Linked DNA regions of Lepisosteus oculatus. The protein of the gene in region 1 purifies or fractionates together with the protein of each later gene. This does not show direct contact. Links are inferred from orthologs where the notes say so. Each region holds a gene or a part of one and is shown on either strand. Other genes may lie near its edges. The genes, in order: hspa12b and eef2k.

Region 1 (15,331 bases):
GGAGATTGCTAGCCAGGGATGCAGGGCAGGACTCTCAGCTGAAACTGAGAATCACGGTGTGGCTCAGCATTCACCCCTCCAGCGCCAGGCAGGGCCGGGGTTAAGCATGATTCCCAGACTTATCTTAACTAACAGACAGCCCCGTGCTATCACCCCTGCAAATTACTTCCTGGTCTTATCTGTGACTGTGGAAGCACTGTGAATTCAGAGTCCTCTGGCCTGCTTACATGACAGTAAAGGACATAATCTGGATCATAGACTAAAACAATGTATAAGGGTTCTTAATTGATCATAATTGATCATATGGAGTAAACTGCTTACTGTTTTTTTGTTGTACAATTTCTGTGGTAATCTTCTCCTTAAACTATAGACATCCTGTTTCATGACAACACTTAATCCCAATCTGTGTTTTATAGCACAAAAAGCCGTCCTTCAGTATAACACTTCTCCTCTGTTGCTCGTGTGCAGTTCACCTTCAGTTACTGTGATCTGATTTTCTACAGATTCTGATCTATGCGAATGAAAGGTGCTGAATGACAAGGTTGGTGTCTTTCCCCAAACTGCGCTGTGTTACATACAGTCACAGCTGTTACAACTGTATGAAGCATTAGTGAAGGCTGTGAGTGACTGTTGATACTCAACACACACACACCACATCTTGTAATCCTGTACCTCCTGACTGTTTCTAAGATGTCTGAGACCTTTGCACAGCAGCAAACACTTAGGAAATGTGTGACTCACTCAGCAGCAAAGAAACAGGAAATCAACTGCAAGGCCCTCTTCCCCTTTTTGTCAAATTCTTTGCTTACATTCACTTTTTAGTTTGTCACATTTTGGAACACTTGTCTGTAAAAAATAGAGACCCCTGCCCGCGCTGCAGGTGGCAGAATGTCTTGAAACACACAATAACTTTTCTGAGCTATCTTCTCTCTGCATGTTTTCTTCCTGGCAGCAACAGCAGGGAACCGATGCTGTCTGGTAGAGAGTGTGGGAGAAGCGCAGTGTGGCGGAACATGAAACAGAACATGAGGGGCTTTTTGAAAGTATCCTGGTGGGAATTGTGAGTCTCAGGAATTCAGGAGAAGATGGGAAGTCTCGATTCCCAGAGGTGGGTGGTTGAGTCCCTTTCCCTCAGTTAGGAATGGTAAGCAACGTCCGAGAGAATCAAGATCTGAACTATGGATTGGTATACTGTGATGATGAATTTATCCCCCCATTTCCCAGAGTAAATCTATATACAATATATCCGTCCTTCGGATGAGACGTAAAACCGAGGTCCTGACTCTCTGTGGTCATTAAAAATCCCAGGCCGTTTCTCGAAAAGAGTAGGGGTGTAACCCCGGCATCCTGGCCAAATTTCCCATTGGCCCTTACCAATCATGGCCTCCTAATAATCCCCCTCTATGAACTGGCTTCATTACTCTGTTCTCCTCCCCACTGAGAGCTGGTGTGTGGGGAGAGTACTGGAGCATCATCCAGGTGGGGCTGCACACTGGTGGTGGTGGAGGGGAGTCCCCATTACCTGCAAAGCGCTTTGAGTGGACTGTCCAGAAAAGCGCTAGATAAGTGTAATTATTATTATTATTATTATTATTATTATTATTATTATTATTATTATTATTATTATTATAAGGTGACTCCAAGAAATAGGTGACTGCGTGATGAGAAAATTATGTTGGATCTACTCCAACAAGTACTTTACACCGTGTCCCTGTCAGAATATCCAGGCTTTAGCTGTTTCCCTCCCTATTATAACCAAATCCAAGCACAGAGCTGTGTAGTCAGTGCTGCTGGATTCCACATTTCTCATGCCCACTTAGTGACCTGCAAACTCCCTCCCAGGGCTGGCAGGCTTGATTCAGAGTGAAGTCACACATCCGAACATGCGAAAGCTGTGCTCCTGTCATTCTCCAGGAAAGGCTAAAGTGAACAGTAAGCAGCAGACTATCTCCCAGGCTTGCAGGAGGACACCAGTCCTCCGGAGTCTACATGAACAGACCAGGAACCGGACAGTTATGCCTCCAATAGTCAGCTCCATATAGACGCAGCACCACTGGGGAATCCGAATGACTGGAACATGGAAAAATATTCACAATTCTTGGGAATCTGGTGGCACCACACATCAGGGGCAACACAAAGACATTTTTTTTGCTATGAGTGAGACCTTTGTCTCTCTCCTGTACAAAAAACCCAGATGTCAGTATTCACTGTGCCATTCTTTTAGCAAATGGCCTGTAGATACAAAAATCACACATGATACATCTTTTTAAAAGTCATAACAATATGACAATGTGCTACATTTTTCCATTACTTACCTGTACTGTATGTTTAAATCATTGTCTCTTATAACACTCATTCTCTTGGGTGACTATTCAGTTGTAGGGTCAGCCTTTTTCAAGTACTACTGCTAATAATAAAATCATTCCTTTCTAGCATGACAAGCTGGGGCAGTTATAGTGGAAGACACCCGGAGTAATTATTCTTGGAGTTACGCATGCTGCTCTCTATTTTCCACTCCAGTTATTGCTCTTGACACTATTCCTCTGGGATTTCCTGCTGTCCCAGTCTCTCACCTGTTGCTAAGAGGATGCATCTGCACCTGCCACCCCCCAACCAGAAACATTGCTCAGAGCAGGGAACAACAGTCCATCACACCGAGACAACTCCATTGAATCAAAAGGATAACATCACAGCAGGAGCCTTGCATGCTGTGGATGCAGAAAAGCTCTTTATCGCACATGGGCCAAGCTTCCTGATGATGGTGAGCTCAATCAGATTTTCCAGTGGGACTCTATTCCATCCTGTGTTTGTGTGAGGAGTCAGAAAACTACTTTCTCACCAACACAATCCTAGAGTCTGCAGCCCTCAGACAAGGACTGCCTCACACCTAAAGGCTCGAGTGACGTTCCTTCCTTCTGTGTTTCAGTGTGGAACTAACCTGTACAGTGCTGCCGCATTCAAATCAGCCTCCTTTACAATGAGATAATACAACTGTTGTGCAGCACAGATGTGTCCTGTATTTGACTCATATACAACAGCAGTGCAACCACCTGTAGCCTGATCTGGTCAGTACTGGGATGGGAAATCTCCAGGGAAAAGCAAGATGATGTATTTCTTCCCTCTTTTTTTCCCTGGGATCAGAAGTTCCAAACCAGTGTAGGAGGAGCTGTCCCTCTCATGAGAGTTCAGGAATAGTCCGGGCTGCGGTGATTAAAGATTTCATGACACTTTTCAAAGGATCGGAGTTTTCTACTGCGACATCCTAGTTGAATTCCAAGCTGGGCTTGAAAAATCTGGCCACTTAATTAGCAGATCGAGTGGAATCTGTCCTATAGGGAAAGTGCTTTGGGATCTTCTGGGTGGAAAGTCGCTACATAACGGTGATTAATTCTTACTATTCTGTAATCTCTGCCTCAGTGCATCACACCATTAGAACACAGGTGCGTTGTCTTCTGGAGTGCACATAGTGTTCCTGTGCACTGGGGGATTCACACAGAGGCAGAAGCACAAGGTGTATAAAGTCCCGCCCACCACTGCTCGCTTCTCAGGCTGTGCGTCTGTCTCACCTCTGTCTTAGTGGCAGGCAGTAGGTTCATCATCCTTTTAGCTTTGGCAAAGTATTCATGCTCCTTCTGATGGACCACTGCTTATATCAGCTGGACTGTATGAAAGAACAACCCCATTTTGTTGTTCCAGACTCCCACAACCACTTGCACAAAGACATGCCTCCTGTTCTTGGTTTTAAAAGTACTTCCACATAGTTTCTTGTGTCCTCTGGTTCCTGTTTCAGAATAAATCCTCTGGGTCGACTTTGTAAGGCCTTTGAGTATTTTAAATACTTGGATAGCATGCATCACATTTCATGGCAGGTTTGTGAAAAGTTTGTTCAACAACATTTCTTACCATGTAAAGCTTTGTCATGTACAAGTCCATGCAAAAGAACTAAAGCTGCAGAAGTCCTGCAAAATATTGCAGGAATCTGGAGCAAAGACCTTTAGCTACTATCCACCAGAAGTCTTTTTTAGGAAACCCCAAAGATGTAATCTGTCTGCACAGCATATCTCCAAAAATGAAATTTACAGGGAAAATAAAAGATTCCTAAAAATCTTACATGTGGAGCAGTTGGTAAGGAACAGCATGTTTGTGAGAACTACAGCCTTGCATACTGTATATAAGGACTCAATCATGACCTCTCATGGTTACCTCTTACTTTAGAGCCACTCTGCACCACTCCCCACACAGTGGAGTATTCCACTATGCCAAAGGGACAGCCCTCCCACTGCAGGGGGACTCCCATGGCAATGACATCATATCCTGGTCCGTTCAACATGTAGCAAGCTCAGAGCCAGATTTGCCCCATACAGATTGGTGTTGCTAATCTCCTTCTGGGTGGAGGGAGTTTATTAAAAACACTAGCAAGGCTGTGCAGAGATTTGTACAGGGTTTTACTATTGCAGCAGTCCCACTCTCCCTCCACCCCTCCTCTGACTGCGGTGACATCATCCAGGCAGGGTGAGGCTATGAAAGTGACACTGTCAATAAGTCTGAAGCCAGCCCCTCTAATATCTCTACAGCTCAGACACAGTTTTTTTTTCAGACCTCCATAGACTCCATAACATTACTCGAGCAATGCTACAGCTTTGTCCTCCTCTTTCAGAGCCTGAATTTGAAAGGAGAGCTTCTTGATCTCAGAACTCCGAACCTGTTAATAATAAACCCTGGAGAACGCATGTGGGCCCACTAATATACACTGGATGTTTGGGGGTAGGGTTTCTTATATCAGATTCCAAGTAACATCTGTGGAAATTATATACCGGTATCTCCAAAACCAGGTTCCAGGTTTAGAATTAAAACAGCAGACAAACACATAGAAATGCCCCCCAGGGCAACACGCTCGGGCCACATATTTCTCTGTATAGGTCCACAGTCTGATTTTCATTTCCCCCAGTCCCCTGTAAACTCAAACTCCAGCGCGATGCAGTCAGTCACTTCTCCGGCGCACTCTGCAGCCCACCGCACGGCACTGCCAGCTGCTGTTGTAGTTAACACAAAATTGTGGGATTTTTAGAAAACAAAATCTCTGTCCTGTCATTCTCCAGGCAGAGCTCAAAGATACTCCAAAGAAATACTCCAGGGAAAGTCCTCAATTCTGGCGCTGTTCCTAGTTTTTTTTTGCCTACTGTACTTGGTTGCACATAGACTTCCACTCCTGGACTTAAACAGCACTTTTGAGGAACAGCCAGACTCTCCCACAACTCAGTCATTATAGTGCTTCTTGTCTTGCGTGGATCTGACATGTTGCTCAGTGTACCGCGTGATTCTCTGAGACAGCACACCTGTTTCCAAAAACCATATTGTGGAGCATCGCACGTTTCTCATTACCTTCTGTAAAAACTAGCATCACATTCACATATTGCATAATATATACGGGATATAGGGGAACCCATTTTTATCCAAAATAACTTCTCTGTGGACCCATGTTAACAGTTATAGGCTTAGAAATTGCTAAGCACTCCCGCACTAGAGAGAAAGGCAGCTCATCAATCTCTAGCCTAGAGGTTGTTTCAGCTCAATCTCTCTTGCATACCTTGGCAATGTGTACACAGCACACCTTTGCAGAACTGACGACCGCTTCTTCCATTTAGAACTGCACAAAAACACCAACTAAACACAATGAGGCCACCAGAGCAGGACATAGGTGGAGAGTGTGAGATGTTCCTGAGTTTAAAAGATGGAGCAAAGTTGAACATGTTTTGCTTGTGCAAGCCGTCTATTGTTCTCACTGTTCTCACTCAAGCAGTGTTGTCAGAAGAATGTGTGTGCAGTCTGGCAGTGATTGGCATATAGAAACCCCCTGTTGCTGACCTACCGGGGTTTGTTGGTAAGGATGAGACACTGAAGATACACTATTATGAGAAACACTTTGCACACTTGAAAACACACTTATTATAATAAAAATAACCTTTTAATTCTGACCCCAGAAAGCATACGATTAATCAAATGCTTTTGTAAATCTTCCTGTGTCCTTTGCCAGCTAGAAGGACTGTAATAATGTAAGAATTGTTTGCCAAGTTTGAACAATCAACCCCTGGAGCACTGGAGCACTCAGAAATACTCTCTTCCTGCTCAAGAGCTATTTGACATCTGCCTCCTCACACCAGGAGAGCACACAACTGCAAACACCTGAGCGCTGACTTCTTTTACATTCTTTTACAACAAAATGCTCTGTACTCACACGTCGCTCTTCAAATAATGCACGTTCGTCCTCTGAAGGGGCTGTAAGTGAAGTCCACACCACTCAGGAACAGAAGAAGATGCCTTTGAAATGCTGCTCAGCTTCCTTTCCTGGTGTAGTAAAGAACAACAGCTCCCCTGCAACACAGCAGATGTTGCGCTCCACTCTGGAAAGCTTGCCAGAGTCTAGACACAAAACAGGAGGAAGAATTAAAAACGTGGGCAACTTCTCCTCCTTTCCTGCCTCTCTGCTCCTTGTGCAATCCAGCGCAAGGCGGAGGCAGTGAGGACGGCGGAGACACTCCCAGGGAGGCAGTGGAATGTGAGAGAGAGATGGAGAGGGACTCCCAGCACGCACACACTCGGGCACACAGAGCGCCGGGCCCGGGCGGCAGCTCTAGCACCGAGGGGAGGGAGGGAGAGAGGGGGAGGCTGGGCTTGGACTGCATGAGCACTGTGTTGTGGGTGTGTGAGAGAGGGAGGGGGCGGAGAGAGTGAATTCAGTCCCGGTGCCTTTGTCTGAGCAGAGGGCTCCTCTTTCCCCACGTCTCCCTCATTTTTCACTTCCCCCTCCTTCTGTCTCCCACTCCCTCTTTCTCCTCTGTCTTCCTCTCACCGTCATTCACCTCGTTTGAAAGGCCCTTTTAAACAGTTTCCTGTTGTTGTTGCTCAGTGCTTTCCAGTCTAAAAAAACAGTTGCCCACTCCGCCCCACACTGAGTTTGCCACAGCAAACTGGCACAATTTCTCTCACTAATAAAATAATCAGAGAGAGCTTTTCTTTGGGACACTGACACAGGTACAGTCAGTGTGTGTTGAAGGAGGGTGTGCCCAGGTCCACAAGAGGATGAATCTGACTGTTTTGTGAGACATTGACATCCACTGAGCAGGGTGCGATCCTTATCAAAGAGAAGAGGAGAAGAGGACAGACGTCACTAACCAGGCATCGATCGCATTAATATAGTCCTCTTCATCCTAAAGGTGAAATCCATGGGTGATTTACATATAATAATAATAATAATAATAATTGCTTGCACTTATATAGCGCTTTTCTGGACACTCCACTCAAAGTGCTTTACAGGTAATGGGGACTCCCCTCCACCACCACCAGTGTGCAGCCCCACCTGGATGATGCGACGGCAGCCATAGTGCACCAGTACACTCACCACACATCAGCTCTCAGTGGGGAGGAGAGCAGAGTGATGAAGCCAGTTCATAGATGGGGATTATTAGGAGGCCATGATTGGTAAGGGCCAATGGGAAATTGTAGGGAATGGGAAGAGTAGGGTTACTCTCCTACTCTTTTCGAGAAAACACCCTGGGATTTTTAATGACCACAGAGAGTCAGGACCTCGGTTTTACATCTCATCTGAAGGACGGCGCCTGTTTACAGTATAGTGTCCCCGTCACTATACTGGGGCATTAGGACCCACACAGACTGCAGGGTGAGCACCCCCTGCTGGCCCCACTAACACCTCTTCCAGCAGCAACCTTAGTTTTTCCAAGGAGGTCTCCCATCCAGGTACTGACCAGGCTCACACCCGCTTAGCTTCAGTGGGTTGCCAGTTGTGAGCTGCAGGGTGATATGGCTGCTGGCTGTAATATAGCACACACACTTCCTCCACCACTCAAGGGCTGTGCCACCTGGCGATGCAGCTCCACTGCGTGGGAGATCGGGCAGGAGAGAGTAACTGCAGCACCTGGTGACCTACAAGGCACTTCAGGGAGGCCAGACTGCACAAGCCTGGAGTGGTGTTTACCAAGGACGATGAAATATCCCTGCTCTTTCGAAAAGTGCCTTAGGATTTGTAATGACCAAGTAGTCAGAACCTCGGTTTCACACCTCACCCAAAGGACAACACCTTCTGCAGCACTGAGTCCCCTGGGTCATGGGTTTGGACTTTCTGGTCCAGAGGAAAAAACGCCACCTACTGGTTCACCAACACCAATCCCTCCCCCTTACTGGCCAGACCCAGCCTTGCTTAGCTTCTGAGATCTGATGAGATCATATATATATATCTCATAGATTTTAAATACTGTTGGTATACTGTGTGTACAGTATACTGAATGAATTTGCTTGTGTATTTCTAGCTAAGCGGTTTTTAATAGGCAATCAGTTAATGGTGAACAGACATGAGTGTGAATGGTACAGAATCAGACACCTCCCCCTTTGAGTCAATGTTTATCCTCCTGCTATCTTTCTATGGACATCCCATTGACTCCTAGTAAATTTTAATGCAATGTACTGAACTACACTGCTAATCATCTCAGTCACAGTGAGAAAAGACAAGAAAAAGGTAGCACCTTTCTAATTTAAAAAATAAAGAGTCAGGTTTACTGCTGTCAACTGCCTATTTTTCGGTGTTCATTCCCCAGTCACACCTGAACACACACAACTGGTTGTAAATCCTGAGTGTGCAGATCCACTTCCAGTTGGGATTCTGCTCTGTCACATCAGTCACCCAGCCCGTTCGTGCTCCTGGGTACAACAGCTGGATGAAGATCTACTGGGGACCAGTGTCAGTATCTCATTTGCAGACAGAAAGATTTGTGGATTTCCAACAGCTTCAAGTGCACAGAGCTTACTGCTGTCTCTCCTCAACCTGCTAATTAAGAATTTGCTAATGGATTTCTAGCTACAGTAAATAGCTTTTTATTGGTGATTAATTGACTGTGAACAGACTCAGGGTGAAGGACACTGTCTGGCACTCCCACTGAGCTCCAGTGTTTTTCCTTCTGTCCAGTTGATTAGCTGCCAGCTCTCACACCTGAGTGAGGACAGTCCTGAAACTCACACATTAGCACAAGGCTTGTACTGTGGCAATTACACATCTCATTCAGCTTTTTAATAGGTGAAAGCAAATAAAAAAGCTTCAAATATATAGATAAATTAGCCTGTGATTAAGAACAAAGCTGGTAGAAAAACAGAAAATACAGATGTTACCCAGAACCAGGAGAACCACTCCACTAGGAAAGTTTTTTTAAAAGTCCAAATGAGAAATCAGATCAGTTCACTGACACCATTTAGCACTGGTGATTAAGGGCCTGGTCGGAATAAGGTCCAGAAGACACAGGTGGACTGACACAGGGCTGAGCACTGCTGATCTGGAGTCCCCATCAGAGCAGTGTGGCATTTTACAGAAACAATCTGCTGACACCTGCCCCACCCCTAACCCCTCAGCTACAAGCCCAGAGACCTGACCACTCCCCACTGCTCCACACTGCTGCATGCTCTGGGTATTGATATACGAAGCAGAGAAAACCCATGGCAAACATACACTTGCTCTGTAGATGTCGCGTGGCGAGTTTGCAAGGGCTCTCAGTGAGTGTGGAGCGGTGCTCAGCTGAGGTGCTCGTTCCCTGTGCCTTCCTGGGTCACTGCCGCCACCGCAGAGCCCCACTGATGAAAAGCACACCCAGCTCCCCGACAGCCAGAGGACGTGAACTTATTCAGCATGCAGAAGGTTGCTATTACCTTACAGAACAAAAAAAGTTATGAAAAAAATCCTCCAGCTTACAGGCTCCCGAGCTTGTCATATTTCCAGATCAAATTGGCTCCAGTCTGGAACCCATTACCTATGGCATCATACACGAAGCAGTAATTAAGGCCTGGGGCCCCGCATAGGCAGCACTTCAAAGACTTTTCTGTTTGTAATGTAAACCACCTTAACAGGGCTCTGCCCCCCTCGAGCTCTGCTCTGGAGGTGATGTCCGCTGCAACCGTGTCTCAGTGGCAGTGCTTTGCCACTGCTAGTGCACACTTTGCACACAGACACACTCAGCTCTTGTGCGAAGTGTGCTGAATTTTCTCATGTTTTCCGAAATGTTTAAATGCGAAAATTTAGCTAGACACTCATAAAATAGATATGGGAAAGAGAGATGTGTCAGTTAAGCTTTTTATTTTGAGAAAATGAAGTTGGGGGTCTCAAAGCTGACCTCCACTTGTCTTGACACTGTTACCCTGGTTTCAGGAGCTAGCTGGGACAAATCTTTGGATCAGTTGCTGCACTGGATGGCCTCCGCCCATTTGTAATATTTCTTGTGTTTGTTTTGAGTACATTTTGCACTGGAAACGAGAGTCAGCCTGTTCCAGCATTTCAGACGTTAGGGCTGTTTAGAAGAAAATCCACCCTGCAGATGAGACATTACACAGAGTCCTGACTGCTCGCCTTACTTACTTGTAAAGCCAATGCTGCAACTCCATCTGCGGATGGTACTGTACCTGAGTTTCAGTCAAGATTGAAAAACATGGGGGTGATGTTTGGGTCAGGAGTAACGTTTGACCCACACGTGCAACATTGTCAAAACATCATTCCTTCACCCCAGAAATATCGCTACACTACTTACTATGTTCAGGTAGTTAGCTGTGTCAGCATGTGCAGGCTGCAAAGAAACAAGTAAAGGTTTGTTGCAAGCTGAAAAAAGAAACGAGACACAATGTTTCGGCTGTGGAGCCTTCTTCAGGTGTCAATCCGGGTGAAACGTTGTGTCTCTTTTCTTTTCATCACAGAAAAGAAAAGAGACACTTATTCCTTTACTTATTCCTTTACTTCCTAAGTTATCGCTGTTGCTGAAAAGCTGATCAACACATTTGTCTTCTCTTGAATTGACTACTGCAATGCCCTATTCACGGGGTTGTCTAAATCCACATTGAACAAACTTCAGTATGTCCAGAATTCGGTTGCCAAAACCCAGACCATGTCTAGTGCAAGTGATGACATTACTCCTATACTGGACTCCTTGCACTGGCTTCCTGTCAAGTTCCGTGTGGACTTTAAAATCCTCATGCTCACCTATAAGGCTCTGCATGGCTTGGCACCTCAATACCTGTCTGAACTATTATCGTCCTACTCCCCACCTCGCAACCTTCGCTCTTCTAATTCTGCTCTCCTTACTGTCCCCCAAGCCCGTCTACATTGTATGGGTGACAGGGCCTTCTCCTGTTATGTCCCCAAGCTCTGGAACTCTTTGCCCAAGGATATCAGAGAGTCACCTTCCCTAAACTCTTCCCTAAACTCAAATCTAAATTAAAAACCTTCTTTTTCAGAAGGGCTTTTACTTAAGTGGTTCTGGTATATACCGCTTTACTCCTACTGTATCTAGTTCTACTACTGTCCATCTACTGTCCTCTCATTGTAGATTTTCATTGTGTTTATATGATATATTTTTTTGTTTATTGTTGTTTTTCTGTGAAACACTTTGAGAAGCCACCTTTAAAGGTGCTATATAAAAATAAAGTTTATTTTCATTCATTATAGTTAATAATAATAATATTTCTTACTCTTCCCCCTGATTTGTTGTGCAGTGGGGCTGCCGGTGCAGAGTGGCAGCTGTGTTCCGACCTGGTGGGGCTGCTCTTCAGTTGCAGATGAAGAGGATCCCTAATCCCTTTGGATGACAAGTGCTTTCTAAAAATCATGGGATTAATTTAATAATTATATTCAATTTAATAAAATTCAAAAAGGAGACATTGGTAGGGAAAAGCTGAGAAAGTTCATCTCTTCTACATCCAGACTTCCAGTGACCCCCTGGCTGTCCAGGCCTGTGCACTCATCTGACCAAGCCAGTGTTATTCCATGTGTGCTTCCATATTGAAGACGTCATCTCAGGAATTCTTATGGCCCCTTTTCACAATTAACGAGCCATTTCCTTTCTTAGAGCAGCTCTGTGCTACCCCCCACCCCAAAAACACACAGCCCACCTGGTCCACCAACTCTCTGCATTCTTTCCCAGCCCCTCCACTCAGCTCCTGACAGATATACACACGCACACACACACATACACATGCACATAGACACACACACATACACATACACATAGACACACACACGTGCACTCACACAACCACACGCACATGTACACACACAAATGCACACACAAACACACATGTACACAACACACATACACACACAATCAACACAAACTCTCACAAGCACGCAAGCACACACAGAAACGCACACGCACACACAAGCACATACATGCACACAACACACACAAACACACACAGGATCACACAGTATGCACACACACAACTTACACATTCACACACACACGCACACAGAATCACACATGCACGCACTCGGACGCAACACACACATCCACACACAAACATATAGGTACACATGCACACACGAACTTTCACAGTCTCACAAACACACACGTGTGCACACAGAAACACACTCGCACACGCAGAAGCACACACACGCACGCTCACACACACTCACACACACATTGCTGCCTGTGGGAGAAAGAACAGTGTGACCATATGAGTGACAATTCGACCCCCCGTGTCAGCGGATGAGCCACAGTGCAGGGATCAGGGCTGCAGGGAGCAATGAATAAAACACGTCCAGCAATTAAAAACTAATCCCTGTCCTGTTTAATACAAGCAGCTATAATTCATGGAGGCTAAAGGCAAAAGAGCAGGAATTATTAAGGACATACAGCTGGCCAAGGAACAGCAGTTAGACCTGGTTCATATCCCAGTCTTCTTTCATCCGAGAATGCCTCCACAGCAGGTCCTCCTTTCTCTGACCCTGTCTTTAGCTGTAACAATCTAGCAGTGAAATGACTATTGGCCTCGGTGTCATTTCGGTTTCTCCCATTTCCTTCCCTGCCTTTCCTGGAGCCCAGCAGCAGTCGAGCTCCAGCTCACAGAGGGACGGGCTGTGATCTCAGCTCCAGCCTTCGACAAGCATCTCCGGGGAGCCTCAGGTCAGCTGCCGAGGCCCGGAACCACAGAACCAGACAGCAGCAAAAACACCGGTGCTAGACTGAGCTGAACCCCTTCAGAGAGGAGGTTGTACTCTTTTGTAGTTCCTCTGTCTTTCTCTTCCCTCCTCACTACAATTATTTTTCTCCTAAGTTCAGGTCTCCTCTCCTCAGTTTGCACTGGACTTGAGGAATTTTGATCAGTGTCATCCCAACAGCCAGGCAGGCCAGATGCAAAACATGCCCAGCTCGCCAGCAGACCATTCAGGGCCCAGACACATGACAAACTCCTGACAAACTTCTTTGAGCTGCTGGTGAGTTTCGTACCACAATCAGTGAGACTCAAAGCTGTGCATTGTGGACATACAGCACAACACTGTGACATACCCTTACTGCCTGGTCTTTAACATACACAAAGCCCCAGCACGCAGGGAATGCTTCAGCTCTGAGCTCCTGTGATGATAAAAAGTAACTCTGCTGCAATGTTCATAGCTTCCCAAAGAATATATACTGTATATAATTACAGCAGGCTTAAATCATGCTGTAGAATACCTTCTGCCTTTAGAGTGACCCCTACTATTTTCTAAAAAAAGCCTAATGCATTATGTCATACTTTTACTAACACATGCACGCACCAAGAAATTGAAGCTCCAGATGGCCAGTAAAAATCAGGAAATCAAGAACAGTGCCAGGGTATGATGTGAGAGTGCTGGACTCCAGTCGGCTGTGTGTGTGCTGTCAGGAGACTTGGGTAACACCGGGCCACTGGAGGAGCTTATCAGCCGTGCTGTGATTTATAATCGGGGCCCTCCGCCCCTTGGAGAGATGAGAGCTGCAGCCCATAAACTCTCCACATGAGAGGGGCAGGGGAGGTGGCTGACACCAGGACAGAGCACAGGCTTGACGAGTGAAGAAGAAGAATATTCCAGACAATGCCTGCTATCAGCATACTTCACTGTTCAGCAGGGTCTGGGAGCAGGGATCGCTGGGCTCTGTCCTCCTGCTCCCATTCAGTCAGGGGGATAAAGGGCGTTTGACCCCTTTTCCTCTTCTCTTCACTGGACTAACCCACTCCCTGCACTGGACAGCTGTGGCTCGATAGGCAGCACATACATAAGGAGCATCTCAAAGTCCTGATAGGGCCAGAGTGGCAAATTTCTGACTTAAACAGTATTGAAGAGTATGAGCGTAGAAGAAATAGAAGTACTGCAGATACCAGAAGCCCTTAATTAGAATTACCAGCGCCTGGTCGCATTCCGCCATTTATAGCTACATAAACAAGGTGTTATTCCTTTAACAGAGCTATTATCAGCTTCACAAAGCTGTCACCCAGTCATGCTGGCCGGGGAATGCAGCATTAACCACTGATAAACTGAGCCAAGTAGTTCCAGACCAAGAAGTCTGCCTGCTACTATGCAAGGTAATAGAAACCATTCCTATTTGTGAACTGGGGGATCACTTGTATAAAATCAGGTACTGGGGACACTCAACATGGATTTAGAATAGGTAAGTCTTACTTTACCATTAAAGACTATTACTTCTAGTTAACAATCTATTTAGATGACATTCTTCACCACAGCAGTTTACATTCACACTCATTTATAAAACTGGGTATTTTAATGGAACAATCTGAGTGAAGTACCTTGCTTAAGGACATAGCTGTATCTCACTTAGGATTTGAACCCACAACCTCCCTGTACCAACTGAGAAAGAGCTATGCTGATGTAAATATAGTTAATAGCGCAGAATTTATTATATGCTAAAATTTTGCAATGCATGAGTGTACTTGTTTCAGAATATGGTGAACAATTTCAGTCACCACAGTGGCTGTGTGGTTAGCACCTGTTGCTTGCTGAGGTAGGATCTGGCTCTCCCGCAACCCTGAATGCGATAAAGAAGTTAGCAAACAGATGGAAGGTGACTATGTTGCTGCTCTGGGATCAGTACAGAGAACAGCAACTAGATATTCCCATGGGCTTAAGGGAATGTCCTGGGTTGACAGAGCCTAAGATTTTATAGTCTTTATCAAACAAGACAGGGGAACCTGAAACAAGAGTTCAAAATCCTCAAAGGCATGGACAAAACCAACCCAGCTAACGTCTTCAGAGTCGACAGCGACGCTCGAACCAGAAGAAAGTATGGGTAAGGGCAGTTAAAACTGAGAACATGCTGCACTTTTTTACACTAAATGTTTTTACTTCTTTGGAGTATGTTTTAAAAAGCTAGGTTTTATACAGGTTTTATAGGTTGCCTTAAATTACCAATAACAAAGATCTAGAAAGCATGTTAACTCCTAATTAGGCCAATTTATCAAAGTAAGTCATTTCGAGCTCGGCTGAAATAAACATTGGAGGACACAGCAGCTCCTCTGAACTGGAGCTGCAGAT
Region 2 (15,074 bases), on another chromosome or scaffold:
ACCGACAGGCATGGCTGAGCGCTCACATCACGCTGGGTCAATGTTCAGGCACGACATGGGGTCTGCTTGGCGTGCAGGGTACAAGGACAAAAAAAGGCCAGGCTACAGCCCAGGCACACCTAGAACCTGAAGAAATCATGACCACAAGCCCAGGCGCTTTCAGCCCCTGCGACAGCCAGGATTTACAGCAGCGGCAGTCTCTCCACCCCCCCCGAGTCCGGCTGCCGACGAGACTGATCATTTTTTCCACAGCTTCAGCAGAAACACACACACAAACAGCTGAGAGCTACGACACACAGCAGGCCACAGGTTTACCGAGAGGCAAGAGGACTCCAGAGCTCAGAAGGGGTAAACACTTCAGGGGATAAAGCTGTTAAAGATGTTTACATAAACACGCGCAGCACTTGATAAGTAAAACACTTATCTACAGCACAGAAGAGCCCGTGTGCAAGGGTGGCCAGGGCAACATATACAGATTAAAGAGGACTACAGGGACTGTGTCCACTGAGGTATGCTTTTGTGTGGTTTTACATCCAAAGAAGCTGGACATTTAGAATGCAGACCATAATGCACACAAAACACAAGTATCCAGGCAAGATACAGTGCCATTGTTTTCTGACACCCTCTTATTGTAAAGAGGGGCCCATCTGCATCTGTTTTGATGCCCAGTGCCCTGCCTCCAAGGACTGGCTGGCACAGCGTGGCACCACAAAATCGCTGGGTCATTACCAGGGACACATTTGTCATTCACCAGCAGCTCCGGTCCTTAACCATCTGGATGAACACACACAACGCAGACTCCTGGCTCACAGCAGTCTACTCCGTTTCACGTTTTAGAAACTGCAGAGGATCAGACCCACCCCTGCTTTGTCTAATTTCTACTGCGCTTATGCAAACAGGATACAAAACACACGATACAAAAACATGACACTTCTTTTATAAATAACAACTCAATAATTTTCATCCGTTAGTATTTTCCTGTCTCATTTTCCACACAGATTTTAAATTATAAGGATTTTAAATGTAACTGCCACACAAACCTAATCTGACAATATCTAAGGCACATTACATAGGCAAACTGATGCATTAAGAGAAGCAAACTCCTTGCGTTTATTTGATTGGCTCAGGCTTTACAGATTAGCATCTGCTGTTTACTGCTAGCTCTCTCCCTGTAAACACACTGCAATCAGACTCGAGTGACCACAGTGGAATCTGTTCAACAGCAGCTTCGTTCAGAAGCTCTTCCTTCTCAGATACAGTTCTGTCCACACTAGTCTGGGCGCAGGGCCAAGGTGAAGTGCCCACCTCACTGTGCTCCACCTCCCAGGACACCCAGAATGGCAGTCACTGTGTGGGCAACAGCCAAGTACTGTACAACCCCCAACACCTCAAAGTCTGGCCGTTATCAGGACGCAGAAATGTTCAAACATGGAATAAGATGTACTTTTAGAGTAGGTCTTGAGATTTTTTTCGATTGTATTCAAAATATTAAAATAACTATTGGAGCAGGAGGCTATATCCTACCACTGGTGGCGATACACAGCCTGAATGCTCACTTCACAGGGATATGATAATTCAAAGTTCTGGACAGGCTTAGAAGGCAATGAAAAGACAAGCTTTGCAGAAACACCAAGCATATCCTTGTGATCGCCTGCTGCTCTAAAACAGAAGTGTACATTAGAGATGGAATCGGCATGCAATAATGCAATACTTAAGAAGACACAGAAAACGGAAAGGGCTTAACCAGGTGTGAAGTTTGCAGAAGAACCTCGTCCTCTCACTGGGGAGAAGGTACCCTACCTGGGTCTACTTGACAGACAACCTAACCACCTGCTCATCCAGAGCACAGAGATCAGGAGTGCAGAGTAACTTCTGTGTCCAACCAACACACCCACTTCATAATATTGACTCTCACAGTCCTGCCTCCACTGCCACTGGACTCTGCACTCGTACCTCCACAGCCCCCAGCCTGTCTGATTTTGTAACCCCGTCAACAACAAAATCATCCTGAACACAATCAGCTGACTGTCGCAGCACTGACTGGTCAGTCCGCCGCCTGCACACAAACGGAACAGACGCCCAATCAGGAATCGGGGCGTCGCAGAACTCTGTGACCAGCAGGAAAGCCAACTTGTTCTCTTCCACGGAAGTACCAAGCCATAATCGAAGGGGGCGGGGGGGAGAAAGATGGGCACAGGGGAGAACTTGGCAGAAGCACAAGCCATAAGGCTACGGCAGTAAAGGACGTCTACAGTTCAGCAGCTCCCGTCAATGGAACAGTCTTAAAAGGCCACACTTAATTAAGAGAAGCACGAGGGAGCACTTGTGTTGATTGAGCACGGCAGTTGATCAGTACTGTCTTCATTAGATGAAAGGGAAAGCAATCGATAGAAGAAAAGTCAATGGGATCAGGAAGCTCTGCTCTGGCTGTACCCTGCAGCCATGCAATACACAGTACAGCTGGCCTGGTTTCGGGAAGACAGGAAGACTGTGCAGGAAAGAAACAGAGAGGAGAGGGGGGAGGCCCAGCCCGTCTGATGGGCTGTGAGAGTTAGCTTGCACAGAATTGGGTGCAGTGTGTGGGGGGAAGCCTGTGAAGAGGAGAGACGAGGAGGAGAACGGATCAGGAGAGGACGGAGAATGAGGAGAGGGATGGGAGCGATGGCGGGAAGGTGGATTTCGATGTGAAGGCGGAACCTACCCGACCTCGTTCAGACAACACCCCAAAACTGACAGATCGCGCCTCTGGTTCTTTCTACAGGACACATGGGAAAGAGTGAGGCAGAGGCAGTGTGGGGGTTAATGAGCTACAGAGGAAAACAGCACTTTAAGAACAGTTAGCTCAGGAGAAAGTCTTCTGCATCTTTCCAAACTCCTTGTCCTGTTGCCTTGTTTTACAGAACATCTGCTTAAATAAATTCACATATATTATCAAAAACACCTTTGCTACCTCTGGGCCCCCCAGTAGAGGGATTCAGATGTAAATTGTCTTTTTATGACTTTTTTTTCTAATCTGAAAAAAGCAAAGATAGGTTAAGGTAGCCGGGCAGAGGACTGGTCAGGGCTCTGAACTGGATTGGTACGGCTTCTAATCCTGGGACTCTGCTATGATTCTCCTGAGCAGGATCCTCCTGTATGAATGGGCCTCCAGGGTGTCGGATAAATGAGAGTCTGCTCTCAACTGACTTACCTGGTGGCTCAACATAAACGGCTAAAAGAGATTAATCTAACTCAAAGGAGAGGAAATGATATAATCACAATCCTCTAGGTGGGTTCCCCCTCCTGGTCAGGCACATGGGCCAATGCCAAGAGCATGTATTTTGGAGGCGTGATCTGGGATATCTGACACTGAACAACCCCCTTTGTCACACTGGCTGATCGCCCCCTGACCCTGCTCTGAGGTCACCGGGGGAAGGGAGCATTATGACATCACTTCCTGCAGGAAATGCAGCATGAGAAGGCAAGTCTTACAGCTCTGAACTACAGGTGCACAGTTTAAAGCTTTTTGTTTGGAATTTACACTTGTGAGAAATGTAGCAAAACTGAACATGCACAGCTCTTGCACTGTATGTTTGTTTTAAAAAAAACACAGCACCTCACACATAAACTTCCCTTACCCTCAACATGAACAAACAAAAAAGAATAACAGATCTTGTTTGCACAACACTGGAGATAGAGGAAGCAGTTTATTATTTGTTTTTATTTCTGTTCCTTTTCCTCTTCAGGGCTCGAAGCAGCCCAGGGCAGGAGCCAGAGAGGCCCAGCCCTTGACACACTCAGCATAGCCATCTGTCCGTTTCAGTGCCTTATAAGGCAGCGTCTGTCTGTGACTGTGACAGGAGGCTGCAGCCTGTCTCTGAGACTGGACGAGCACATGCCTACAGCGATGTAAATAAAGAGTCAGGGAGCTATACTCTAGTCAGTGCCCTGACTATGAATAAGACAACACTCTGTGGAATGTTAGAGACAGGTTAAAGTTTGTTTTTTTTTTCATGCTGAAAGCAAAAACCCAAGCATGAAGCAGATAATGTCTTTTAGCATGAAAGGGGCTTGGTTTCTGAGAGCGAGCGTGCATGTGGTTTTAGCAGGTCAGACACCCAGCAGGACCTCACAGTACAACAGCCAGTTTTTTTACAAAGCAAAAACAATTAGCAGCTAAAAACAAACAAAAACAAACAAGACATGTCTGCAGACAGTGCTGTTGCATGTAATTTAGTAGATTACAGAGTTCAATCAGTTCTCTAGTTCTCCCCTGCAAAACTTTCTCACCACAGTATCAGTGTGCTTGAAAGGGGATCTGGCTTTAATTCAGCCAGGAGTGGAGTCTCTCCTTTACAGAGAACAGGGAACCAGCTCAAAGCTGCAGACACGTGAGGCTTCAGCAGGGTGCCTCTGAGCTCATGCTAGGAGGGAGAAGGCAGGCCTCTGTCCTGCCCAGAGCTCACCTTGAAGCTGAAGGACTTCTTGGGCGACGCGCTGGAGGAGTACTGCTCGTTGTGGATGAGGTTCTTCAGGTAGTTGCAGATGTTCTTGGCCTGGCTCTCCGACGGGTCATCGGTGATGGGGCAGATGTAGAAGTTGTCCTCCTCGTCGCTGTCGGGGTCCTCCAGCGAGCCGGCGTGCCTGCCCCCCCTGCGGGCGCTGTCCACCTCCTCCATGCTGAAGATCATCTCCTCCTCCATCACGGCTGGTCACCGGCTGCACCCCTGGGTTCCTCTCCGCTTCTGCAGGGCTCTCCACACGCTGGCCACAGCTGCGGGGACAGAAGGACAGAGCAGAGATGGGGTCACCGGCGCGGCCCCACACCGCCTCCTCAGGGACAGCGGCCAGCACAGCGACCCCCAGCGACCCCCAGTGAGGTCCTCCCCCACAGCTACACCTCCCAGGAGCTTGGGAGACTCCCGCTGCACAGTTTCGGGCTCAGCGTACGAATATCCAAGCAAAACAACACAAAAAACCTTCCTCAACCTGGTCAGGCATGAAGCAGACGTTCACGTTTCCTCAGCAGGTTCGTTTCTTAAGACAAACACACGCTATCTCAATGAAGCAGCCGACACAGCTGCAAAGGGCTTTCAAAACAAGACTTTTGACAGCTGTTTTTCAGCTGCCTCCTGGAGCAGCTTCTTTCAGGTTAATAAAAAGCCTGAACCCGGTTCCAGAAGCTGATAAGGCTGCAAGAGCCGTAAGTGAAGTTTAAACAGGTCTGCTGCTGTGATAGAGCCTGGAGAGGGACACCCCCCGCCCCCCCTTCACACACACACACACGCAGGCTGCCGTTCTGCACATCAGGCTTGGTCTGCGAGCTGGGAGACCTCTGGCTCCGTCACTCTGCTGTCCGGCCCTGGGCTCCGCTCAGAGCGAGAGGAGGGGGCCCCTGGGCTGTCAAGCACACACTAGCGTACAGCATTAACACACACCAGTGGCGCCCTGGCACAGCAGGACTGGGCAGGATATGGAAATGCCCACAGAGCCCCACGTGACAGCACAGCGCACATTCCGAGCTCTGCAGACAACCTTCTTCCAAGAAGCACTTCTTTAAGAAAGCCTCCAGTTCGACACTAAAGGACCTCCCGTGAACTCAGCTCCTGTCTCCCCCACAGCGCCATGCCACAGAGGCCTGACTGAAGGCTCCCCCTGCTCTTCTGCTGATATCAAGACACAGAGAGGTTCGTGCCTGGACTTCCAGCCTGGGTTAAGAGTAGCCGGGACTCTGCTCTGGACTGCATGCTCCACTGCGGACGGGCCAACCAACGCACACCACAACGGTTCAATTTATTTCCGATCTCTTTGAAAAGCAACTCAAAAGCGCTTTACAGCAGCACTGGTGTAATACGCACCGGAGCAAAAAGAAGGAGCAGAAAGCGCGCAGTGAACTGACCCAGTCAAACACAGCAGGACGCTCAATTACACACTACGGCCGTACAGAGGTGAGGTTTGAACACGCCAGCAGCTGAGGTTGCAGGCTCTCACTGGGAACCGGCACCTCAGAAAGAGGAGAGCTGTCTCATGAGAGCACATGGCACAGTGACCCCTGGGGTCAAGTCCAGCCCCTTTCCCAAGACAAGCAGCCACCAGGTGCTGCTCTCAGTGTTTGCCTGGGCCAGCAGGGACCACACAGACACTTGAGCAGTTTACAGCCCTGTAAAACCCCATGAATTTCTCTCACTGTCACCCCAGAGGTGAGGCGTGGGCACGTTATTCCGCACGACGGCCGGGTCAGCCTGTCAAGGGACAGGGGTTCGACTTTCCTCTCAGCCAGAGCTCGGATCAGCCCCGATATAAAACGCCACCACATTGGCGCTCAGCGTGAAACGCGGGACGCTTAATCCATACTCTACTGCCATCAAGCCCGTCTGTGCAATGCCAAGCAGAAACTCCAGCTGCCCTGGGGCCGAACTCTCCGATCCATTTGTCGCGAACCCCTTGTCTGGGGAGAGGAAAGCCCTCATGCAAAGCACACTCGGGGCCACACCAGAAAGAGACTGTGAGGGGTTTAATCCACAGGTGTCACTGAAGAAGGCTCCACAGCCGAAACCTTGTGTCTCTTTGCATGCTGACGCAGCCCCCTACCTGAACTACTTTGAATTATTTTGAATCGCCACACCGGACAGGGAGAAGATAAAACGTCCCAGACCGCATCGCCAGGTTTGAGTGAGCAGCAGCTCACACCCCAGCGTGTTGGGGTCTCGGAGCCGAGAGGAAACAGCCCGTCTGCTGGATCAGCCAGCGGGACTGGGTGTTTACCAAGTGTTGGGCTCCCATACGGGCGCAGTCACCGAGAGCCAAAACACAAAATGCACGACCCCACACAGCGGGAAACAACAACTGGGTACCCCCGCTTCGATCGCCACAAGTTTAGCAATGATTAGTATATTACAGGCCAAGACGCGTTTCCATGCTTGTGTGTTGATGTTGTTGAAATACCCCCCTCGCAGAGCCCAGACTGGCCGCAATGAAACGGTTCAGAATGATATATTTGTAAAAAAAACACACACACACCAGTGTTCTTCACGAAACGGGCATAACCACGCTGGAGAAGCGCAAGGCTTCCTGTCAGCGATTCGCCTTATCCGTCACAAGACAGAAAAAAACACGCAGCGCGTCTCGCCGGGCCACAGCCGTGCAGACGGATTTGGTATAAACAAGCGCTCAGGGAAATGACTGTAAAAGAGCCCACCTTACTGAGCACAATGCGAGCTGGCCTCCGATGCATAGACGCGCCGATGAGTGTGCTTCTGTGTGGAGGAAGGCTGGGAGCCTGTCCGTGTCTCTCACTCCGCGTCTTGCTCGCCGCCCTGTTGCTGCGCTCTTGCAAGAGTTTTTCCACAACACGGCTCCCCGAACCCGAAGCTGTCCTGCAGACAGAGCCCGTGGGGGGAGACGGGGGGGGGGTGTATCCTCGACGGGAGGGGATTCAGGTTTCTGTTCCCAGTCCTCCACTGCTGCAGCGCCCCGGCGCACGTAGACTCTCACGCCGCCAGCCTGCAGAGCGCCTCCTGGTGGCCACCGGGCGCAACAGCCGCCCCCCCCGGGGGGTGTGAAGTCTTGACAAACAGGTCGCTCTCGCCGGACGATTCAAAGAGCAGATGTGACCTCCCCTCGTCTGTCCGTTTGTCAGTACGGGTGTTTATTTATTTTTTTTTGGGAGGGGCACAGGACATTTCTGTTCCTCGGCGCTCTAGATTTGCGTTCTTCATGCAGCGTTGCCTTTGATGCGGCGCTCAAACCTTACCTCTCGGGAGGTGGGAGCGCTTCAGTTTCGCGCAGGGGATTCGTGTGTAATTGTACATGTCTAAATACACACGTCCTCCGAGCGCCGTGTTGCACATTGCGTCAGCGGGCCGGAATGTTGCTGCAGGTTTGTCAGTGATACCGCAGAGAAACTGCTACCGGGGTAGCGTGGCCGAGTGGTCTAAGGCGCTGGATTTAGGCTCCAGTCATTTCGATGGCGTGGGTTCGAATCCCACCGCTGCCACATGAGAGTTTCTTTTCCGTCTTTTGGTTTTGACGAATAATAAATAAAAAATCATATATAATAACATAAAATGATAGGAATGAAATTCATTGTCAAATTTCATTTTTTACGTGATGGGAACCGCACAAAGCTACCGAACTTGCAAAGCAGGTTTAAAACACCACGATTGAAGGGGGAGACAGAAATTAGAGTAATCAGTATATTTTATTCAGCTCATCTCTGAATTTCCCGTCAAACACTGCCTATACCCCGTTAGTATTTATTCAGCCCTGCAAAATCGCATTTTATCATAGAATTATGGCTTTATACCGTCTAACGGCCTTTTCCTGAAATATTTTACAATACACGGTCACCTTTAAATTCACGATAAATCCAAGTACATATCCACAATCTCACAAAACATCATATATGCTGACGCGTCTGTCAGTATATATGACACTTTCTTTCACAAAGAAAGTGCAAACTGTGCTCCTGCTTTTCTCGTTGCTATTTTTTTGAGACACAAGGTGGCTCTCGCTTCATAGCGCTTTTAAAAAAGTCTGTCGTTTAATGCAGTCAAAAAGTTAATTGTTTTATTATCTAAAGCCAAAATTAAAAGTTTCATAAATGTATTTTCAGCATCCAAATAATATTTATATAGGTGTCCGTGATGAAATCTATACTTCCCGTCGTCGGAAGGCGTCTCTGGCTGGCCGCCATCTTGGCTCAAGACTCCTACCAAGGCTAACAGAGCCAAAATGGTCAACCAGCGTTCAGAAAAAGAAGGTTAAAATTTGATGTTGAACAGCGGGTAAAAACTACATGCTGAATATCACCACAGGAGCGAGTGGTCGTGTAATGCTTGATTTTGAGGTGACAGGGTCAGGGTCGTTGTTGTTACTGCGGATCACCTTCTATACGAGGCCTCTATAACCTCGGAGTGCTTTGGCTGATCCGTGTAAAGCACAGTATACAGGACTTGGAGCACAGTGGGACTTGCCTGCTTCAAAGTCTGTCCTTCACAGTGTACAAACAGGTGTCAGCTCACCACCACCTTTCCTTATGAAACACATTGAACTGGCACAGCGCTGTCCACTCGAATCCTTCATTTAATGTATACTGTCATTTACAAACAATCTCCACATATAAAATGCCTTCACAATTATTGCTGATTAGTTATACATGAGGTCAGGTGTATCTTGTGCTTGTAACTTGCAACAGTGCTGTTAGAAAAGGAAGGCTCAGGTTAAACAGCCCGTGAGCATCTGATATCCCTGGTGCTACAGGGTCTAGAAATGTCTAGATGCAAAGCACTCTTTTAGACAAATTATATTTCAGAAAATACAGTATCTTTGTGCCAAATTGGGAAACAAAGTGTACTAGGCTGAAACTGCACGATGCAACAAAGAAAACAAACCCATTTTACCATAAATAATGTGTCTCAGTAAAAAAAGCAAGCGCGTGGATTACCATTCCATTACAAAGACAGCATTGGCATCCGGGCTAGTTACAAGTGTTTCATACAAAGCATTTTGTAAAATAGATTTAAATCTAACAAACGTCTTACTTTCTGCAGACTAGAGAAGTTTAGGGAGCTAAAAACGGCAGCACTCCTGGTCTCCTCACAGCAACAGACTGCGGAGATGTTTTCTTTCTACTGACAGGGTAGAAACTTGGGCAAATTGAGACATTAGGCCTACAGATGAGCTCAAGGAGCTTTACATCAGTTGGAAGGACTTCAGAATCACCTGTGACAGTCTGTGCGGACTTCAATAATTCCCCAGAAACCCTTGTTATTGCGTGCATAAAACACTGTTCAATAAGCAGGACTGGCTACATTAGTGCCTTCAGAGATAAACTACTATAACAGCAAACACCAGAGCACATTCAAACTAAATATTCACTGTGGCTCCGCTCCTAACTGGCTAACACTGCACCCCCTAATAATTATTTCTGGAGCCACCCCTGCTTAGAAACCCTTTATAAAATTGTGCAAGACAAGTTTTCAATTTTTTCTTTAAGTCTACAAATTCTCCGTCACTAATTTAAAGGACATAAAAATTGCATACATTGCATTTATAAACTGCATTTGCTGTTACAGGTCCTGCCACAACATTCTAGCGCTCTTCACTGGCTCTGGGCTCATAGACAAGATCGAGCGAACTGAACTTCAGCAGGTCCGCGGCGTCCTTATCATGCAGACCGAGCGGTGCTGTACCGCGGAATGAACGCCAGAGGGCCTCCGAGAGCCAGCATGTGCCGTGCAGTACTCTACTCATTTCTGCGTCTAAAATAAGATTAGATACCCTCAGGTAGAGCGCTAACTGAGGTTAAGAGGTCAAAACTCAACTGAGGTATGATGGCAGCCTGTCCAGTTTCACTGTTATAAAATCGGTGTTACTGCCCACAACATTCTGCATCAGGACTAAACGGGCACCCCACTGCAATGCTCCTAAGTTGCAGAAAACGTGCATACAGAATGCACTGCAAACTTTAATATCGTGGTGAAACTGGGCAAAAAGAGAATAAAGTACAGCACCGTTTTAACCCCCACCGTCATCATATCCTGTGACCAGAATCATAAAACACCCTAGATCTTCCCCCAATTTTCCACTTAGCGTGTCCCTCAAGTCAGGGCGCTTTGTAAAGTCCCTGAGCGCACTGGTCAATACATTAGCTATGGGGAAGTATCGGCTTATTCAGTCATTAAGATTCTGAATACTGCTGGTGTCTGATGCAGCGTCGAGGTCCGTCAGAGAATGCGAGACGGGCTGCCGGCCCACTCGGAAACAAAACCTCTCCACAGTTAGCTCGGACTGGTGAAGAGCTCCTATCTGAAGTGGGCGCCGCTCAGGGGCGGGTCGAGTTGAGACTCCTCGGCGCCGCCAGGTCGCCCCAGGCGCAGGAGAGCAGCAGCAGCAGCGCCAGGGCGCCGCCCAGGAGCAGGGCCGCCCGGAGGCAGGCGGGCAGCCGGCGGGGGCTCCGGGCCCGGGTCTTCAGGTAGCCGTCCACGGCCTCCGCCAGGTCGCGGCGCTGCGGCGTGAACCCCAGCTGCCGGCGCGCCTTGTCGATCCTGAAGGTGTGGGTGACGGCGATGTTTCTCACCTGCGGGTGAAGGGGGGCAGGTCAGGCGCTCTGCTGCTGAGACCTCACACTCGGGCCGAGGGCGCGCACTAGGGTATGAAACCAGCCCAGGTGCTAGGTACTAGTACTATGAGTACTATCCCATAAAACTGCAGATCCGACTCCGCACAGCGAACACCCCCATAATATTCGGGGAACACTGTCTTTCGAAGGTGACACCATACCTCTTTGACGGGGGGTCACACCGTCAAGCCCCGTGCACGGCTCGGGAAACACTGTGTCACCGCCAGAGGGCAGCCTGCGCCAACATTTTCACTGGGTTACCAAAGGCCTCGTTAAGTCCCTGCTTTTGTTCATATCTATATTGTAGTGCCTGGTTTTAAAGGTTAAACCCCCCCCCCCTTGAAAACACACAAAGCTTGAAAACGAGCGTCAGAGTTGCGGATCAGATTCATTAGGTTTTTATTTGCAAAGTGGCCCAGCTGATCTCTTTCCAGCTGTTTCTTGAAAGAACAATGTTGTCGTGCTTCCTCGGCATGGCTGAGTAGCTTACTCCATGCACCCACAACCCTTTGTGTAAAGACGTGTCTCAGTTCCGAACGCACTAGAAACAGATTTTACTGCAACAAACACAGGAAAAGTTTCTAAATGAATAGCTACGACTGTTAAGGTACAGTACATGTTTTAAAGGATAATCAGCAATGACAACAGTCTCTTTTCAACGATTCCAAACTTGCTGCGCTGACAACCGAGTTGTTTCTCAACTCTTTTCCAAATTCAAACAGCGCCCCCTGCTGCCCAGCGTGCCGTCACTGGCCGGGTCGGGGGCACTGGCAGGAGAAATCGCGGCACCCCAAAAGATCAGAAAACCGTGGCTCGGCTTGTTTTAAGAACATTAAAAAAAAGCGTGGCAGTGGCTGACTTATGAACGCCATCGGAACTCCGATATCCCCTTACTGCACAGCGGATTGCGTGTCTGTATGGAAATCTACACCGATAATGCAGGCAGGCAGGGCTCTGGCAAGTCAGACACCTGGGGCACCTGCTGCATGTTTAATCCTGGGAGAGACGGAGAGATTCTGAGGTCCCTGGCAGACAGAGAAAGGCACCTGCAGTACAACCCGCCCCTGTTTTCTACCCCTCCTGTCTGCCCCTCGAGTTTTGGAGTATTGCAAGAGGCAACTCAAACAAATCAAAGACATCACTGGAGGAAACCTGGGGTGTTTGGACATTATGCTCTTATTTAAAACAAACAATCCGGGCAGGAGAAGGTGAAAGGGGAGGCCACTGACATGACAGCTGGAAAAAAAAAGCCCAATTCTTTGTTAAAATCCTGTGGCATTCCTCCGCTTCCTTGTTAAGTGAATCCCTTGTATCCGTGTATTTTAACAGGTTCCAGGGTACAATTAGCTGCCTGTTTTCTCTTGGTAGAAAAAGCATTCCAGCTGTCCCTAGAGCCCTCCGTCTGGGACCCTGCTCAATAACCAGGAGCTCCAGAGCTGACTGAGCTCTGGAAAGGGACAGTGTGGAGTTCTTAAAACACTTAGCATCAGCGTGTCAGTCTGACCCACTGTTTCATAACTTCTCTGTGAGCAATTTCGATTTTAATAGCCTATTACAGTCCTAAAAATGTCAATACATCCCTCTAAAAGCTTTCCTCGCTTTCAGCTTCACAAGAACAGAAGATGAAGGTATTTGCTTAAAGCATGAATAATTAAGCCTGGTTATCTCTACATTCTGTTCTGCACGCACGTAATGCTGTTGCAGTAAAGGGCTGGTATAATACACCCTCGCCATGAGACACGACTGACTCTGCCGCCAGCTGATACAGACAGCTTTCACAACCTGCAGAAGCGCTGCAGCTCGTCAGGTGAAAAACCTCAAGGAAATTACAGCCTCTCGCTAGGAAAGTATCACCTTGTGAAAACACAGAGGGCTGCCTGCGTCTCGGCCGGCTTTTGGCAGCGATGAATGAGGCCTCATATTTTATTTAAACACAATCATCAATTTTACAGCCGCCTCGCTAGACTTGCCCCTTTGACCATGTCTTGAGTTTCTCATTAGGGATTAATGAAGGAGTTTCTGATCGTCGAAAAAAAGAATCCTCAAGCCTTTTCGTTTCTTATCAATACGGAGATCTAGGAAGGCTCTGCTAATAACCACAGCAGTTTGTAAGTGTGGCCCCTTGTCCTCAGCTGTCCGGCGCATCAGCGCAGTGCTGGCTAGGATGCTTGGTTTTCTCCCTCTGCTCGAACCTCGGATGGAAAGAATGAAGGAATGTAACTACATCTGCTTAATCGTTACAAACAGCTTTGATGAGGCTGTGGACTGGACTGGATGTCCCTAGAACACTGACAACCTCTCCTGTTCGTGCCTCTGTTTAAGAGCCTGTTTAAGTGCCACTAATTAAAAACCTCTGCTCGTTCTTAATTAGTTTCCAGTAAGAGAAGCAAGTCTTCGCAGAGTGAGAAAGACTGAGATCCCCGAGTGAGAGTTATCGGCAGTTCCCTCATAAGGACCACTTCAAAACAGCCTTTTGCTGCCCACAGATGTCCTTTTAACGAGGAGATTAATTAGTGACAGAAATCTCCACACAGTGACAGTCAGGTGTGGGGCATATTGCGTAATGCACACTGCATACCAGAGTATGGCAAGTCTGAGCACCTGTGGGCATACAAGTGCACTGTAAAAAGTTATAAAAATGTTATCTGAAATAAAAGAGATATAAGATACCATGTGTGATGAAAGATCCAGTCCTCGAGAGTCTTCTCCTGTGTTGTTATTTCTTCCCACCCGAGCTCTCATTGCCTTAATAAGACTAATTATTTTGCCCAATTAGATGAGCGTCATTATTTTCCCAGGCCTGGGGTGTTCTTTAATGACGTGGGGGTGGCAGCTGAGGAGGCCCCCAGGACAGGAGACAGGCACCCCTGGGTCAGCCTGTTTTGGGGAGAGGGCTGGCGGGGGGCGGTACCTCGTTTCTGGTGAAGAGCAGAGGGATCCCAACCACCGGCCTCAGAGCGACGTGCAGGCACTCCATCAGGATGGCTGAAACACAGCAGCGGCAGAGGCGCTTCAGTCTCGGGTGCTCATCCCCTTTCCTGCCACGCACGCGCTAAAGGACCGCACCTGGGCGCGCGTGCCGCGGGGGGGGCAGGGCAAAGGCAGCTCAGCCCCGTGAGACCGCGGACAGGCCGGGGACAGAAGGACATCACGGTAGAGGGGGGCGCGTAGGTAAAAGCAAGGTAAAAGTGTAATTTCTGGACGGTAAAATCACAGGGAGAGGGCAAAACGGATGTGCAAATATGGAGTGGCAAACTTTCAGTAGGGTAAGATCAACAACGAAGACATTACTTATTTACCCATGGGGTGAAATCTCATAACCAAAAACACAGAGCAAGGCAGGAAGTGCTGAGCCTGCTGGAGGCCCTGGGACGGCATGCTCACAGGCCGAGCCTGCTGGGCAGCTAGGTGTGGTGCAGCCAGAGGGCGCACTGAGCTGTGCAGGCTCGGCACCGGAACCGAAGCCAGCCCCGGAGGTGCCCCCTCACTGCCAGGTGCGGCGCTGCAGGGAAGGGCGGGGTACCTGCTGTGTACACCAGGGAGACGGGCAGGTGTATCAGAGGTCGGCTGTAGCCCAGCTTCTCAAACTGAAGGGAAACCAAGGCAGGAGGACATGTTAGCATTAGGGCTATGTCCTCCTATCAGAAATGACATTTCAAATAAAGGTTAACCACATCACACACAGCATTACATTGATAGATTTTCTTAACAGTACATAGCATTGAACTGATGCTATAGATTTTGAAATGAGAAGAAATTAGCCTGGAGGAGGGGTTGAATATTGAGAATAAAGGCTCATTTTAGGGGGTGTTCCTTGGCATAGCAAGGTCATTCACAGATTACCTTCAGTAACACAGGGAGCCCTCACTGCACAGCGGGACATCTATACATCCAACAATACAAAACCCAGACATTAAAATTCCTATTGTGAAACTACCGATTGAAATGCACAGGCATTCAAGAGGAGTTCGTG

What was found.
Region 2: the proteins of hspa12b (region 1) and eef2k purify together in Homo sapiens (affinity purification with mass spectrometry; 3 studies listed by BioGRID and IntAct, with this or other methods). This does not show direct contact. The link is inferred for Lepisosteus oculatus from reciprocal best matches to the Homo sapiens genes HSPA12B and EEF2K.

What each region holds. Positions count from the first base shown.
Region 1 is NC_090696.1:2,796,189-2,811,519, forward strand, and holds the start of hspa12b (heat shock 70 kDa protein 12B), read right to left. Parts: upstream 6,631-15,331; 5' UTR 6,236-6,630; intron 1-6,235.
Region 2 is NC_090714.1:16,592,321-16,607,394, reverse strand, and holds the start of eef2k (eukaryotic elongation factor 2 kinase), read right to left. Parts: upstream 7,688-15,074; 5' UTR 7,178-7,687; intron 4,754-7,177; 5' UTR 4,683-4,753; coding exon 4,446-4,682; intron 2,756-4,445; coding exon 2,702-2,755; intron 1-2,701. Other genes in the region: sdr42e2 (putative short-chain dehydrogenase/reductase family 42E member 2), read right to left, coding at 10,805-11,059, 14,013-14,086, 14,625-14,688. UniProt on the Homo sapiens protein: Threonine kinase that regulates protein synthesis by controlling the rate of peptide chain elongation.